Drosophila melanogaster: one gene and its partners. The gene in region 3 interacts genetically with the main gene of each other region. Each region holds a gene or a part of one and is shown on either strand. Other genes may lie near its edges.

What was found. A genetic interaction does not mean that the proteins touch.
Region 1: of mei-P22 (region 3) and spn-B, changing one suppresses a phenotype caused by changing the other (phenotypic suppression), as found in Drosophila melanogaster (2 studies listed by BioGRID).
Region 2: of mei-P22 (region 3) and Brca2, changing one suppresses a phenotype caused by changing the other (phenotypic suppression), as found in Drosophila melanogaster (one study listed by BioGRID).

What each region holds. Positions count from the first base shown.
Region 1 is NT_033777.3:14,326,242-14,330,857, forward strand, and holds spn-B (spindle B), read left to right. Parts: upstream 1-1,809; 5' UTR 1,810-1,969; coding exon 1,970-2,024; intron 2,025-2,084; coding exon 2,085-2,246; intron 2,247-2,307; coding exon 2,308-2,651; intron 2,652-2,704; coding exon 2,705-3,169; 3' UTR 3,170-3,367; downstream 3,368-4,616. Other genes in the region: Afti (aftiphilin), read right to left, coding at 1-40; ATPsynE (ATP synthase, subunit E), read left to right, coding at 1,050-1,295; NK7.1, read right to left, coding at 3,983-4,616.
Region 2 is NT_033778.4:24,524,232-24,530,830, reverse strand, and holds Brca2 (BRCA2, DNA repair associated), read right to left. Parts: upstream 4,660-6,599; 5' UTR 4,531-4,659; coding exon 3,786-4,530; intron 3,726-3,785; coding exon 3,654-3,725; intron 3,595-3,653; coding exon 1,496-3,594; 3' UTR 1,278-1,495; downstream 1-1,277. Other genes in the region: CG4612 (uncharacterized protein), read left to right, coding at 5,359-6,057, 6,289-6,513. UniProt on the Drosophila melanogaster protein: Involved in and required for double-strand break repair by meiotic and mitotic homologous recombination. During meiosis, has a dual role in the repair of meiotic double-stranded breaks and the efficient activation of the meiotic recombination checkpoint.
Region 3 is NT_037436.4:7,242,083-7,246,777, reverse strand, and holds mei-P22 (meiotic P22), read right to left. Parts: upstream 2,391-4,695; coding exon 1,395-2,390; downstream 1-1,394. Other genes in the region: Cdc27 (cell division cycle 27), read left to right, coding at 1-946; mRpL50 (mitochondrial ribosomal protein L50), read left to right, coding at 2,889-2,918, 2,975-3,084, 3,144-3,573; Neos (neosin), read right to left, coding at 3,725-4,418, 4,482-4,695. UniProt on the Drosophila melanogaster protein: Required for formation of the mei-W68-mediated double-strand breaks (DSBs) that initiate meiotic recombination.

The DNA.
Region 1 (4,616 bases), on a different chromosome or scaffold from region 3:
GCGGGGGGGTGCTGCAGAGCAGCGGTGGTACATTCACCATAATGCCAGCTGCAAAATTCAGTAAAAGGATCCCCTAAAATTCACTTCCTGCTTCAAGAAGAACAACAAAAACGCTGGGAACGGTTCGATCTTCTATCTCTCTCGCTCCACTTTATCACTGTGTGTGTGGTGTGTATGTGTGACGCAGGTGTGGAGGGCCTGCAAGTGTGTGTGTGTGTGTTAGCCACTCAAGGTCTGTGTTGGAATTTTCTTGTTTGCATTTAACACGCGTCAATTTTGTTGTGTCTCTGTATTATGTCTAATTGTCGCCTTATTGGTGGCTCTAAAAACAGATTTGCCGAATTTGCAAGTCGCGTTTTATCTGCAATTAGCCATGTTTTCCAGAAAACAATACTTTTTCCTCTGCCCACAGTGTGAACGTTTAACTTTTGGCCAACCGACAGTGCTGAAAAACGTTGCGCAACATTGATAACATACAAAATTTGAATCTTATCTTTTTCAATTCCCATTTTCGATTTAAATCATTATCCATAGTTCAGATAGAATAGTTATATTAGTTATATTTCTATAATAGATTTTTATTCTTTCCAATTCTTTTACCGTTAAAATTGTATTTGAAAATTATTAGTAACAAGAGTAAAATATACATGAAAGTCTAGGCTGCAGTATGTAATACGTCAAATTTTGTTGGGACACTAAACAACAAATAGTCGTCATAAAGGCTTCTTTTAAATTGTTATGATATTTTCCACAATTTCTGCATACTTTTTTAAGCTTGCTGGCAACGCCGCCACCGTACCAATACAACTATCGATAGCCGCCTGTCAGTTTTGACAGCTGTTTTAAGGTTATACTGCGCTGCCGTTGCAATCGCTCCACCAATTTGGTAATTTTGCTTATTTAACATCAAATATTGCATAAAACTAGGAAAACCAGGAATCTGTAAAGTGGAGCGAGACGGGGAACGCTATTAAGGAAGTCGGATAACTAAAGTACATCCTTTTCTTGCAGTTCACGGTCGGACAATTACATAACTTGAAGAAGAAACCATGTCGCAGGCTCCCGTTCGCGTTTCCCCGCTGATCAAGTTCGGCAGATGGTCCCTGCTCCTGGTGGGCATTGCCTACGGCGCCGCCCACCAGAGCCGCCTGTCCAAGAAGGAGGAGAAGTTGCGCGAGATCGAGGCACAGCAGAAGGCCGTCCGTGATGCCAAGCTCGCCGAGGAGAAGAAGCGCAGCGCAGAGGCTGAGGCCCGTGCCTTGGCTGAGCTTTCGAAGCCCACTCCCAAGCACTAGGATCCTTCAGGATGCAACATCCGCAGTTCCCTTAGCTTAAAAACATTGAAAAACCACAACATTTACACACGAAGTTCGCCCAAAAGGAGGAGCATCATCGATAGTGGAGCCACCATCTATCGATCACTGACTATCGTTTTTGTGTTTTCCTCTGATGCTTGTGCAAAAAACAGAATGTTCGAAATTAAATGATTGAAACAAAACCATTATGTAAATACTCTCAAGTGTTTCGTGTTTGTGATTAAGTGGTGTTCACTGGAAATATATTTATATTAGCATAGTGTTTGGATAGGAGAGGATTGAGAGAATTTGAGAGGGTTTGAGCTCCAAATTTGACTAGGAAGTACATATAAATATTTTTGCAAATTGATTATCAATAATTTTCCTAAATTTTGTTTTAAATCTTTTTTGATAAACAACAACTGATAGTTTACCTTATTGGATGCCCACTGTAGTTGCCAGCTGATTGGCCCACTTAAGATATTGGCGCCAACAGCTGATTTCAACCGGCGTTTATTTACACTTTCAATTCGCTCGCAAGTCGTCGCATGGCTCGGCTGTTTGATCAATAATCCCCCGGAATACTTCCAATTCCGGAGGTGTTGAGACACCTTTCGTGTTTCGGGGAGCCATTATATCACGCAATCCCATCGAGGACATGCCATCGCATCGCGATGACAAACTTTCTGGATCAATTGCCCAAGCATATCAGAGAAATCGCCGAGCAGGGTAAGAGTTTTGGGGTTCCAACAACTTTATTCAAGAGCCAACTAAATTCCTGTACTCCAGTTAATGTTCTCGCACCGGAGGAGGTGCTGACAACTCCCAAGGTGCGATTCCTGGACACCCGCCAGCAATCGCTGCACACAATCGTGCGAAAATGCACTCCGGATGATGTTAGGGTGCTCAAGGATGCGGCAGCCAAGTGGCTGGCAGAGATGCCCCAGTCAGGTGATTCTCAGACTAATGTATAAGTAGCCTCTTGTGTTTAGTTTGCCACTATTTATTACAGCGGATTCCCTCTTCAAGCCGCTTGTCAATGTTAGATGGTCGCGGGTGTCGTTTGGATGTTCCGCTTTAGATCGCTGCACGGGCGGGGGAGTGGTCACTCGTGGAATTACAGAGCTATGTGGAGCAGCCGGCGTGGGCAAGACCCAGTTGCTTCTTCAGCTATCCCTTTGTGTCCAGCTACCCCGTGAGTTGGGTGGCTTGGGCAAAGGCGTGGCCTACATATGCACGGAGAGTTCCTTTCCGGCGAGAAGATTGCTGCAGATGAGCAAAGCCTGCGAGAAGAGGCATCCCGAAATGGAGCTGAATTTTCTGGGAAACATCTTTGTGGAAAATCACATTGAGGCAGTGAGTCGACAAACCAATTTGTAGCCATATGCTTATTTAATATTAATCCAAAGGAACCTCTCCTGGCGTGCGTTATAAACCGCATTCCGCGACTGATGCAACAACATGGCATTGGCCTGATCATTATTGATTCTGTGGCCGCCATATTCCGGCTGTATAATGATTATCTGGAACGAGCGAGACATATGCGTCGACTGGCAGACGCTCTGCTCAGCTACGCGGATAAGTACAACTGTGCCGTGGTCTGTGTGAATCAGGTGGCCACCAGGGACGGTCAGGATGAGATTCCCTGCTTGGGATTGCAGTGGGCGCACCTAGGACGCACTAGACTGCGTGTTTCCCGGGTGCCCAAGCAGCATCGCATGGGTGATCAACTGATAACGGTGCGCAAACTGGAAATACTTTACTCACCAGAGACTCCCAATGATTTCGCCGAGTTTCTTATCACCGCAGAAGGTGTGGTCAATGTTCCAGAGCCATCTGTTCCCAGCCCACCCGCCAAAATGCGTCGACTGTGATTGATTGAATTTATTCTGTTTATTTTGTTATCGTTTAATTTGTTGAATTTAAAATGTGTAACGGCGGAGCGTTCAATTAGCCATACGATTGTCTTATACTCCTGTTAAATTCAGCGGAATATTTTAGGGTTTAATAATTTAAATTTACTTAGTTGCCAATCAGGTTTAGGTATCATTAAAATATATAAAAACAAATTTAGAAAACATGCTTTTCTTATTTCTTTTCAGGAACAAAAGGTTTTCTGATGACCTGATTAACACGATAACGCAATCTTGTTTCAATTTTTTTTTTAAATAAATGTAAAGTTCCGATAAATTTAACCCGAGTTTAAGCCATTTTCCGGGCATAATCATCTTATTTGTTGCCTTAATTCCTTTTTTGTACAAACACTCAATAAATATGTTTCATTCAATTGCAATTTACAGGGTAGCAGAGCTTACAGGCCTACATACATAGTATAGTTCATAGTTCAAGTAGTAAAATCAATTTTGTAATCGCCTCGTATACATTATCACATGAAATTCTCAAAAGTTCAGATTACAATTTGCCATAGTTTACGCGGACATTTAAATGCGACATTTACAAAAGCCTAGCCTTAGCGTTTAAGTATATTAAATAAATAAAATACAAGCCTAAAGGTGAACGGATTACGCGACAATTAAATTACAATTAAGTAATACAACTATGGGGGTTTTCTTTCTGTTTAGTTTTATTTTTGTTTTTCTTTTGTTTATTGGGATAGTTTATCCTCTTTGTGGATGAGCAATATTCGACTTTTTGGCACAAGTTAATTTGACTGTGGTTTCTTCTGTTTAAATCTCCCGCATGGCGACATCCTGATCCTGGGAATCGTGAGCTTCTATGGAATCGCCATGCTCGCTGGAGGACACCTCCTCCTCCTCCTCCTCTTCCTCGCCGTCTCCATCGCCTTCGCCCTCCGATGAGGAACTTTCGGTTTTGACCCTCTTTTCCGGCTGCATTTGTTTGTTGGCCATGGCCAAGGCAATGGAAATTTTACTCGCGGCCAATTTGCTTTCAAAATCCATTTCCGTTAGCTGGCCATTTTGAATTGCCGCCCTTTGGAGACTTAACTGCAGTTCCCTGTGCTGCGGAGACTCCTCTCGTTTTATGTCCAATTTCTCGGTTTGTTCGAGTGGAGCGGCTGGTTCTACAGTTAAAGGTATGGCATGCTGATGCAAACGCTGGTGTAGCAATTGATTTTCATTACTATTATTTGGCCTTTTTTCGACTGCGGGCTTTTGATCGCTGCTCTCCAATTCTGCACTTCGATGTGCTTGATTAGCCGTTTTAACTGTCTTTTCCAGCAGCGCATTTAACTGCTTTTTAATCTTGGTGGTACTCTGTTTGGCGGGCACTTTTCCCTCGCTGTTATTAACATTGTTGTTTAACGTATTGTTGTTGTTATTGTTACTGCCGCGATTTGGA
Region 2 (6,599 bases), on a different chromosome or scaffold from region 3:
TGAGCGGAAAGGGCCTCTACAGCTACCTACCGTATCCTAGCATTCAACCGATCAGCCTATCAAATGTGTCCGAGTATTTCGATCGCGCAAGGATAATTCGAAACTTTCAAGGCTTTCCTGTCCGCATACTTCGAAGCACATTAGCTCCTCGGGACTTTGAGTACTCCAACGAACAGGGTGGCTTGGTGCGAGCAGGATATTTGTTCACAGCGGTCAAGGAGCTGACTTATCGCTATAACGCCACCATCGAGAGTGTACCCATACCCGATCTGCCGGAATATGATGTATACTTGGCCGTTGCTGAAATGCTACATACAAAAAAGATCGACATTGTTTGCTACTTCAAAGATTTCAGCTTGGAAGTGGCCTACACAGCACCACTTTCGATTATCCGCGAGTACTTCATGGCTCCCCACGCCCGTCCGATTTCCAGTTATCTGTACTACTCCAAGCCCTTCGGCTGGACCCTTTGGGCGGTCGTGATTTCGACTGTCTTGTACGGAACCGTAATGCTGCATCTGGCTGCGCGAGGAGCACGAGTCGAGATTGGAAAGTGCTTGCTGTACAGCCTCAGCCACATCCTATACAACTGCCACCAGAAAATCAGAGTTGCTGGCTGGAGGGACGTGGCCATCCATGGCATTCTAACGATCGGAGGCTTTATACTGACCAACGTCTACTTGGCCACGCTCTCCAGCATCCTCACATCCGGGCTGTACGACGAGGAGTACAACACTCTGGAGGATCTGGCCAGGGCTCCCTACCCCAGTCTGCACGACGAGTACTACAGAAGTCAGATGAAGGCGAAAACCTTCCTGCCCGAACGGCTCCGCAGGAACAGCTTGAGCTTGAACGCCACCCTGCTAAAGGCGTACCGGGATGGGCTCAATCAGAGCTACATATACATATTGTACGAGGACCGCCTGGAGCTGATCCTGATGCAGCAGTACCTGCTGAAGACGCCGCGCTTCAACATGATTCGCCAGGCCGTGGGTTTTACCCTCGAATCCTACTGCGTGTCCAACAGTCTGCCGTACTTGGCGATGACCAGTGAGTTCATGAGGCGCCTGCAGGAGCACGGGATCAGCATCAAAATGAAGGCGGACACTTTCCGGGAGCTCATCCATCAGGGAATCTATACCTTGATGCGCGATGATGAGCCGCCGGCTAAGGCATTCGACCTGGACTACTACTTTTTCGCATTTGTTTTGTGAACTGTGGGACTGATTTCGTCTCTTCTCGTTTTTTTCGCGGAACTCGTAAGTGGGCACCTTTAAGGAAGTTGGTTAGCGGGTGGCCCTTATCGGATCGTTTATTTCCTTATAAGGTGCACTTAACAAAAAACGCTTATTATGATAACTTATACAATTATTCAATCTGTCATGATGAGACCACTAATGGCATACCTTAATTAATTCAACTAAATCTCTACCCATTTCAAATCGGCCAGCGGTTTAAATATTTTGGGTATAAAGCAACGCTTACTTAATGTGTACTAATAGCGACTTCGACTCAGACCAAGTCTTCGACTCTTTTTGGGTTGCATGCAAATAGGGGACATGTCCTCCGCATCCTGTCTATTCTTTGTACAGTCCTTGGAGCGATTTAAGTCCCTGTCGGCCAGCGGAGTACTTGTCGAGGAAGGCTTGGGAGCGAATCGCTCCATAGTGGGTAAGGCGCAGGAAGTGGAAGTTTCAGTTGACAAAATGATCTTTCGCTTTCTTTTTAGTGACAGGAGGTTCCGGCGAGCTATTACGGACTTCTTGGTGGCCTGGTCCAGTGGTGATTTGCCGGCAAGTTGCGATAGTGAGGAGTGGATCTCCTGCGACCTTCTGGGTGTCCTCACCAATGGCTGGCTACACAGCGGATGCTCTTCCTTTGCAGAATGCTCCACGAAGAAGTCGTGTTTGAAATGCTCAATATCTGAGGTATTTTTTAGACTTTGTACATTGCAAAAAGTTGGCTTGTTGGCACTGTCTTCTGCCGCCGCTTCATCTACGAACTTGGCATCAATATTTCTCGATTCCTCAGAGATCACAGTTGGTTGGTTCGAGTCAGTGCTTGCATCGGCGGCTTGAAATTCACTCATGAACTGTGCAACTTTGATTTTCGTATTTTCCGAAATCACAATTCCTTTATTTGAAGCGGTACGAAAGCCGAAGAATTCGGTCTCAGATACGGTTTTAGTATTCACAGCCTTATTATTTTCAACATTTATTGAATGAATCTCATTGTTTGGAGAGGTGGGTAGAACATCAGGAAAATCGCTTGGCTGCCACCCGTTTAATTGGTCTGTAGCTTTAGACTGGGCCAGAAACATGGCTCCTCTCTTCTCCATCGCCTCGGTAATCTCAATGGCTTTGTTTGACGCTGTTCTAAAGCCGAAAAACTGTGATTCATTTAAGTCACGGCAAACTGGGTCAAGTGTGGGTTGATGCGGTTCCCGCATTGTAGTATCAACGACCACCAACTTGGAAGCTTTCGATCGCATTTCCTCTGAACTCTCTATTGATCTTTTTAAGGCTGTATCAAGTCCAACAGACGTCGGTTTGTCATTTGGCTGATGGACTAAATAATCATTTTGTTGAATTGTTTCTTTGGATTGAAACTCAGCCATAAACTCTGCAGTTTTGATTTTCATCTTCTCAGAAATCGGAATTGCCTTATTTGAGGCTGTGCGAAAGCCACAAAACTCGGGCTCTGCTATAGTATCGTTATTGAGAGGACTGAATTTTCCATTTATTTCTCCAACGTCAACTTTAGCTATTGCATTGTAGGTTTCCTTACCATCCAATATTTCGATGGGCTTGCTTGGGGCTGATTTGAATTCCGCACACTGTGTTGATTCCATTACTTGACTATGATTATCGGAGTATTCCTCAGTACGTAAGTTGCACTTGTGACTAAAGTGATATAGGCCGGATACAACTTTGTCTACAAACTCTTCGCCTTTAATTTTCATTTCTTCCGAAACCTCGATAAATTTGAAGGACTTCTTTCGAATGCCATTAAGTTGATGACTGCTTATGGTCTGACTTTTATTAGGAGTCTGCTTTTCTGGTTGCTCCTTGTCGTCCAGATTTATTGAATTGATGTTTTCTTTAGGCCCTTGAATTGCGTTTTTGGAGGTTGATGGGCCATTAGAGCACTGCATTGGTTGCCAATCATTAAAAAGAAACTCCTCAAGAAGCTCGCCGTCGTTCAATAGGTTTTCTTGCTCTGCAGCATTAGGCTGATCCAGAATAGTAGTTCCTTCGTTTTTCGTGTTAATATCACAAGATTGTTTTGAGGCTCCTCTAACCTTTGATGCATTTGAATCTTTGCTACTTTTTTGTTCTTTCTGGGAACTTGGCTCCAACTTTAACTTTTTATCGGGTATATGTTTGATTACATCTTTGGAGATCTCGGGCAGTTCCATCGGAGTTAGCCATTCACTTAGTGGTATGCCTTCTAATATGAAGTTTGTGTTCTCCTCTATGTCAACATTTTTTGCTTGCGTTTGGCCCATCAAAAGTTTCTTATTTTCAGCAATTTCGACATCAGCTTTTTTCAATGTAGAGTCTGCATCAGACCAAACATTACGTTTTCCACTTTCTATAAATAAGGGTTTATATTAATGAACTTCGCAACAACATAAATTGCATATGAATTACCCAATCGGAGGCGCGTAGTGGGAACCGATTGCATGCTATCGCCATAAATAGTGTCTGCCATAGTTCCTGGACCTACGTACATATAAAAGGAGTTACAAATGTGTTTCTTGCCATATCGATCCCACTCCCTACCTTCCTGCTCATGCTCATTTTCATAGAAAGAGGCCTCAAATGTAAATCCGCTCTGCAACAGGTCATCCCTCAAGTTCTCCAATTCAGCGTTGAAACACTCGTCACCAGAATCCTGCCTTGCTTCGGTTGGCAGATCTATTTGCGATGGGACAGGAGTCGGACCGGAAGCTGTCGCGGTCGCGGAAAAGTATTGACTGAGGTTCAAAAGGACCTCGTGTATCTTCTGTGATGAAGCATCGAAATCACAAGCCATAGATGTGAACGAAGTATTGAGATCCCTCTGCACGGAGAGGCCTGAGGAACCTCTACGCTTCTCGTTTTGAACGGCCTTGTGGCTTTTGGGATCCCTCTTCCGGCTGTAGGTTCTGATCCTTTTGTTGCGAAATCGAAACCACGGCTCCGACTCATGGCTGGGCTCATCCTCATCCTCTGCGTATGTTGGAGACGAGCAAAAGTCGCTCATGATCATCTCGACCTGGTCCTCGGGCGTGGGCTCTGCGTAGGACAAAATAAGATCCTCCACGGCGACGAAGTCGCTGTTGTCCACCGCAAGCCGCTCGTGACCCCGAGTCCGTCGAGCGATGGCGAAAGTCTGGCGATCGGCTTCGCATATTTTGGCCATTTCGTCGATAATGTTACTCCGATTTGCCGCCGCGGAAACTGTGGCGCCACGTTCGCGCGCATGGGCTCCTCTTCCTTGGGATAGCCTGTTCGGATGACTTCCCGATGCGCCATTCTGGTCCATCACGTCATCTAATTGTTTAAATGTGTTTTATTTGAAGTAAGCAAGTGTCCAATGCTTTTGTGGTTGCATTTCCAAAACAAGGGGTGCAGTGTTGGTAAGCGTTGCTTTGATGGCCATTATCCGCTAACTGTGGAGGGTGGACTTGCTAAGCAATCGGGAGCGAGAAAGTCATCGATGGTATGGCCAAGAACATGAAGGCCTCACGTATCGATGGCAGATGCATCGATGTTTTTTAACATCACTAATCACTAGTAGCGACAGTTTTTGCATAAAATACAATTAAATAATAAAGGGCCATCGCCGAAGCTGCAAAAACCAGGTTTTACACTGCTGCAATTGCTGAAGAGTCTAGTTTAGGTGCCACTCGAAAACAATACCGGAAAGTGTTACGCGAAAGCCCAGCAGAGCCCCAAAGAATCAGCCCAAAAGTGAAAGCCCCCAGAAAAAGTAAAGTACAAAAGAGCGAAAGGAAGAGCCAGAGAGGTAAAGAAAGAGAGAGCGAAGAGCGTTGAAAAGAGTCTGTGCGAGAGAAAAACGATTTTTTCAACTCCGCGAATCCTTGGTCATATTCCGTGTGCAAATCCTGGTAAGTGGGCATTCCGCTGGATTACGACTAGATTGGCCATAACGCAGATTCCCGACATCCCAGGTAAATCGGGAAGTGAAGTGAAATACTAGGACCAGGACAAGAACGCCGTCAAGATTCTCGGGCCCATCTACAGCGGTATCCAGATCCAGAGCCACGGCCACCAGGACGCAGAATCCACCTACAGCACCTACAGCACTCCACTAGCCGCCACCACGCTCCACAAACAGCCAGCAGCCATTATGTTCGTCAACTCCATGACGTTCCGCGGCAATCCGGCGAACTACCACCAGCAGCAGCCGGCCCTGAACCACCACACGCTGGCAGCGGCGCACCACCAGCAGCAGCTGCACCACCACGCCGCTGCAGCTGGTCACCTGAGCCACGTCGGCGGTGGGCACGCAGCCAGTAACCACCTGGCGGCCGCCGCTGTTCTCGGACGGCATGGCCACAACTCCCTGGGCAGCGGGCACACGTCCACGTCCTCGCACTCGGCCAATGTGGGCGTGGGAGTCGGCGGGGGAGCTCTGGCTAGCGGCTCCACTGGGGGCAGCGGAGGCAACAGCTCTCCGGACAGTGGCAAGATCTATATCAAGAACCTGGAGCGGTCCATCGACAACAAGGCGGTGTACGACACGTTCTCGGTGTTCGGAAACATCCTAAACTGCAATGTGGCCAAAGACGAGGATGGCAATTCACGCGGCTATGGGTTTGTGCATTTCGATTCGGAGGAGGCCGCCCGAGCGGCCATCGAGAAGGTGAATGGGATGCTGTGCAATAATCAGAAGGTGCATGTGGTCAAGTTCATACCACGGCGGGACCGGGAGCAGGAGAAGGCCACGCACTTCAAGAATCTGTATGTGAAGAACCTCAGCGAGGAGTTCACCGAGCAGCATTTGCGCGAGATGTTCGAGCCCTACGGCCGCATCACCAGTCACAAGGTACGTTGTTTGGTCACCTCATCTTCCCTACGGGGATGTTCGTGGGGCCGGGTGGTTGGACGACAACCATGTGGCACAGTTTTGCACTCTCTTAAGTCCTCTCTTGCGCCATTGCTGCGCATGCCCATGTAGCCACGAGGAGTTTGTGACGGCGGGGAAGATGAGGACTCCACCTGGCCCATCTGTGCTAATTTGTTTATATCATCGATTTGCTTTCTCCGATCCTTGCAGCTCATGCTGGACGAGGAGGGGCGCTCCCGGCGTTTCGGTTTCGTCGCCTACGAGAACCCACAGTCGGCGCTGGCCGCCGTAATTGGCCTGCACGGCAAGCAGCTGGGCGACAACAAGTTCTTGTACGTGGCAAGAGCCCTCAGCAAGGCCGAGCGGCAGCAGGAGATCAATCGCAAGCTGGAGGAGCGCAAGCGGCAGAAGGCCGGCCAGATATTCTACTACTAAGGCTTCGGCGGCGGCAGCTGATCCAAGGACATCGCTAGGAGTTGACTTGGAACCCACACACATACAATACACACCCATATATAAAC
Region 3 (4,695 bases):
CAGGTACGAGATGCGTGAGTATGAGGCGGCGGTGGCGATATTTGAGACCATCCACAAGACAGAGCCATGTCGCTTGGACTACATGGAGATATACTCGTCATCCCTGTGGCATTTGCAGCGCGAGGTTGAGCTGTCAGCTCTCGCCCAGGATCTGATTAACCAGGACAAAACCAGCCCGGTTACCTGGTGTGTGTCCGGCAATTGCTTTTCGCTGCAAAAGGAGCACGAAACCGCGATCAAGTTCTTCAAGCGGGCTGTCCAAGTGGATCCAGACTTCGTCTACAGCTACACACTGTTGGGCCACGAACTCGTACTCACCGAAGAATTTGATAAGGCCATGGACTACTTCCGTGCAGCAGTGGTTAGAGATCCGCGGCATTACAATGCTTGGTACGGCATCGGCACCATCTACTCCAAGCAGGAGAAATACGAGCTGGCTGAGATTCACTACGTGAAGGCGCTGAAAATCAATCCACAGAACTCGGTTATTCTCGTGCACATCGGCGCCATGCAATTCTACATGAAGAAGAAGGATCTGTCGCTGCAGACGCTAAACACGGCCGCCACGCTGGACCCCAAGAACCCGCTGACGCGATTCCATCGCGGCTCCATCTACTTCTCGCTGGGCAAGTACCAGGAGGCGCTGCGCGAACTGGAGGAGCTCAAGGAAGTCGTGCCCAAGGAGTCGGTGGTGTTCTATCTGATCGGCAAAATCCACAAGACGCTCGGCAACATGGATCTGGCGCTGATGCACTTCAGCTGGGCCACCGACCTAGATCCCAAAGGTGCCAACAATCAAATCAAAGATGCCTTCGACTCAATGGCTCATCCCAGCTGCTGTCCGGCCAACACTACGGCCCTGGACGTTGATCTGGAGCCCACTTCGGAGCGTTCCGATGACTCGACGCAGGCGCAGCAGGACGGAAGCTACGACAGCGACTACTAGGGAGCTGCAACTCCAAATTCACGCGGTTGTATATACGTTAAATGAGAAACACAGTAAACAAAAAAGAAAACTTAGTAACAGATACAAAAAAAAACCCCGATCGATTGCTGCTGTATTGTCGTGGAGGAAAGGAAACCAATTATGAAGTATGATAAAGTCTAGATAACGTTTAGCATTAGTAATTTAAAATATACAAAAAAGTAAATGGTTTAAACAAAAATTGTGCACTCTGAAAGTCTAAGGCAAAATAACGAAAAAGAAACAACAACAACAAAAAACAACAACAATTAAATACCACTTAAAAATATACAAAAAAAAAGGGAGATATACATTTTAAATGTTAAGTTAAAGCAACAAGGATCTTATGGGAATTAAATATGTTGGACTTGGACATTAAAACTATTCAAAGTGAAAACATTATACTACTGCTATAAGTTCCCCATCATATCTAAGGTACTTCCAATTCATCCTCTTCATGTTTTATCGGAAAGCGCAGGATTTGCTCGTGGCTCAAGCCCTGAGTGATATCCAGCACGCAGCGCAGTCGCTCCAAGTCAACGTTCAACATGGTGGCCAGTGTGGGCAGATGCTCCTCCAGCAAAATGTACTGACGCGGCCGCTGCATGGTCAGAATGCTGCTGATGTCCTTGGTGCCGAAGATCTCGCCAATGGAATCGGACAGCGAGAAGTTCAAGGAGACATCGGAGTCGAGATCCGATGGCGATTTGTTTACGATTTCACCGCGCCGCTCCGGAGTTTGGATCTCATCGGGTGTGAGGCTTAGATCGCTAAGTTGCATAGCTGGAGCAGATAAGGATCGTCTTCGAGTGGCACAGCTGGAATCCTCAGCGGGCGGAAGTTGATGAACAAAATGGGCGGGATATTTGGCAGGCAGCTTGGATGGCGATGGTGTGCTTCCTAGCTGATCGGTGGAAATTCTTGACTGCAGTTTCTTAGCCGGTTGCTTTGGTTTTCGACCACGTTTTTTGGGAGTGCATTGAATGCTTCTCCTTTGTGAATTCCTTTGATGAACTTCTTTCTGAATATTATTCTTCTTCTTTACGGTCTTTTCAACTTCATCTAAACTTTTGAGGTGGATAATCTTATATGGAGGCTTCAGGTGAACGATTCTATTGGAAGTTTTCAAGGGGACAACTTTATCCCGGGATCCAAGATGGACTAGATTATCCGAGGATCTCACGGGCACCAACTTAGCTGCAGGCTTCAGGTGAACCACTTTCCCTTGCTGCAACAATAGTTCACTGTAATCATCTTCAGTGTTTCCAAATAACTGAGGAGAAAGACTTTTGGGCGGAATCTTCTGCAGATCCCGGTTTTCCTTGTCGATGAGGCGCTGTGATCGCCGCAATGGGGAGTGCTGGGAGCCACCCATAAAGGAGCAGTAGGTGGAGGCCGGACTCGGGACAACTGTTGTCCTGTCCATACTGTTTTATACTACATAAAGAACACCAATGTAGTTTAAAACTATTATTCAATGCAAAATTATAAAAAAATAACAGTTGGCGCGATAGCAGGACTTATCAATTGAATAACAGGACCTTATTATCGACAAAAGCTTAGAGCTGCCACGCAATTTAATAAAGTTATCGTTCGTAAAGTTATGTCGAATTTAGATTTAAATTGAAATTGATGAGGTAATATATTTTTAAAATAAAATCCTATCACTTATTGTTGCTTAAACTAAAATTTGTTTCAAGAAAGACTATTATGAGATAGATCTTCGACTAAAAATAACTCAATACTCATAATGTTTTCATTTTTTTTAAGTTTGTTTATAAATTTAACAGTGGGTAAACAGTGAGTCCACCTGGCAACGCTCAATGCAGTATTTTTGTGTTACCATCTCCTTACCTGTAAGTATAGTGAATATATTTTCAGTATTGACTGCCATGCCGCATTGTTTTCAATCTGGTCACATCCAATGGCAGCGATTTTACGTAAAACCCTAATTGTAAGTAAAAAATAATAAAAATGTTCACTTAAAATCCAATGCCACCATGAATTTAGCTTGCGGGAAGCCTGCATAGGAGTTTTGCCTCCGCCGCCAAGGCCGCAAAAGCAAAGCCCGTCAAAACCAGCACCATTTCAGCTGTCGGCGAGTCCATCGCCGCCAAGGGGTAAGCACTTTCTTTAATTTATTTACATAAAAACCAAGTAAATATTCTCCTGATTGTAGCTTCTTGCGTCCCCATAAGCCGTACTCCCCACCTGCAGATGCCGCCGAACGTATTCGAACCGTAGCCGCCTCGCTTCAACTGAAATCCGACCAGTTGGGGAATCTCTCCGAGAAATTCGAATTCCTGAACGCGTGCTTCCAGGAGCTGCAGCACGGAGTGCCCAACTCCCAGGTACATGAACTGCGCACCGTCAGCGATGTTATCGCTTTCTACCAAACAGCTGTGGACACCACCGTGCCGTTTGATGCACTGAAGCGCATCGAGCTGCCGGAGAATTTGCACATCCAGTACGAGTACGTGCGATTCCATCCCGAGACAGATACCAAATTCGACGGCAAAACGGCTTTCCCCAAGAGCTCCACCCTAGTCACCGGTCTCAAGTACCGTGGAAAGTACGAGGGACACGAAGCCAAGCGATCCTGGCCTTAGAAACAGCCAATTGTTAGTTGTTAATGTCTTACACTTATTAAATGCATTCTGGAAGCCCGAGATTTACGTCATATATATTAGGTATTACATTTATTAAATGTTAAATATGCTTAATGGCTAAAATTAATGAATACTACTAAGTATTGGTAGTCTATAAATACTCGGCTAAAATCTGTCTGAGATCCGAGTTGTAAACACTTTCCAGGGCCGCCAACACTCGATCGTCAGCAAGTAGCTCCATTAGCCTTCTGTCCTCCTTGACTGCCTCGAAAGTGGGATACATGAGCTCGCTGGTGACATCGGTTACTGCCGGCTTGTTCATGATGCTAAGAATCTTCTTCTGCAGCTCGATCTCTGGATCGGGAGCTTTTAGCTTGGCCAGAGCATTGGCCTCGCCCACCTCTCGCTTCAGTTGCTCCTCGCGTTCGCCTTCGAGGTACTTAAGAATCACCTCGTACTGCGACGCGGTCAATGGATGATTGTCTGCCAGCCTTTCCAGCAGCCCCTGCATTTCCTGGGGATGTCGTCGCTGTCCCTTGTGTATGGATGTTGACGGCGGTAAGACGACAGCGTCGCGCTGTTTTTTGAGCCTAAAATCGGTGGAGATCAGGGTGATGGCGTCCTCCAGCGGCATGTTGCGATGCTCAGCGGGTACGCCATACAAAATGTTTACTGTGATGCTGTTGTGTTCCTCGTGCTGCGGCGTGACCAATACCGCATACAAGCAGCCGCGCGAAGAGATGTTGGCCAGGACCTTGCCTAGCAAGACGTCCTCGTTGGGAAAGAGTACATCCACGCGCAGACTGGAATTCTTTAGCCGCTCCTCAATGTATTCTGCGTATTTGCTGCAGGTAATGAAAGCCATGAGTATCGTCTGGAGTTATAAGGTATTGGGGATCATAACTTACGTATTCTCGCGATTTTGGACTATGATCTCGCAATCATTGATGAGGGGTTGACCTGCTGCCGCTGCCGCCGCTGACATCACAAGTCCACCCTGAACTGTCACCTGGCCTCCTTGATTTGAATTTCTTTTGGCGATAGCATTGGCCGCCTTCGATTTAATGCTGGCGTTGCGTACGGTGAGCATGTTTTGCTTAAAAGTGGACTTGTGCAGGGCGG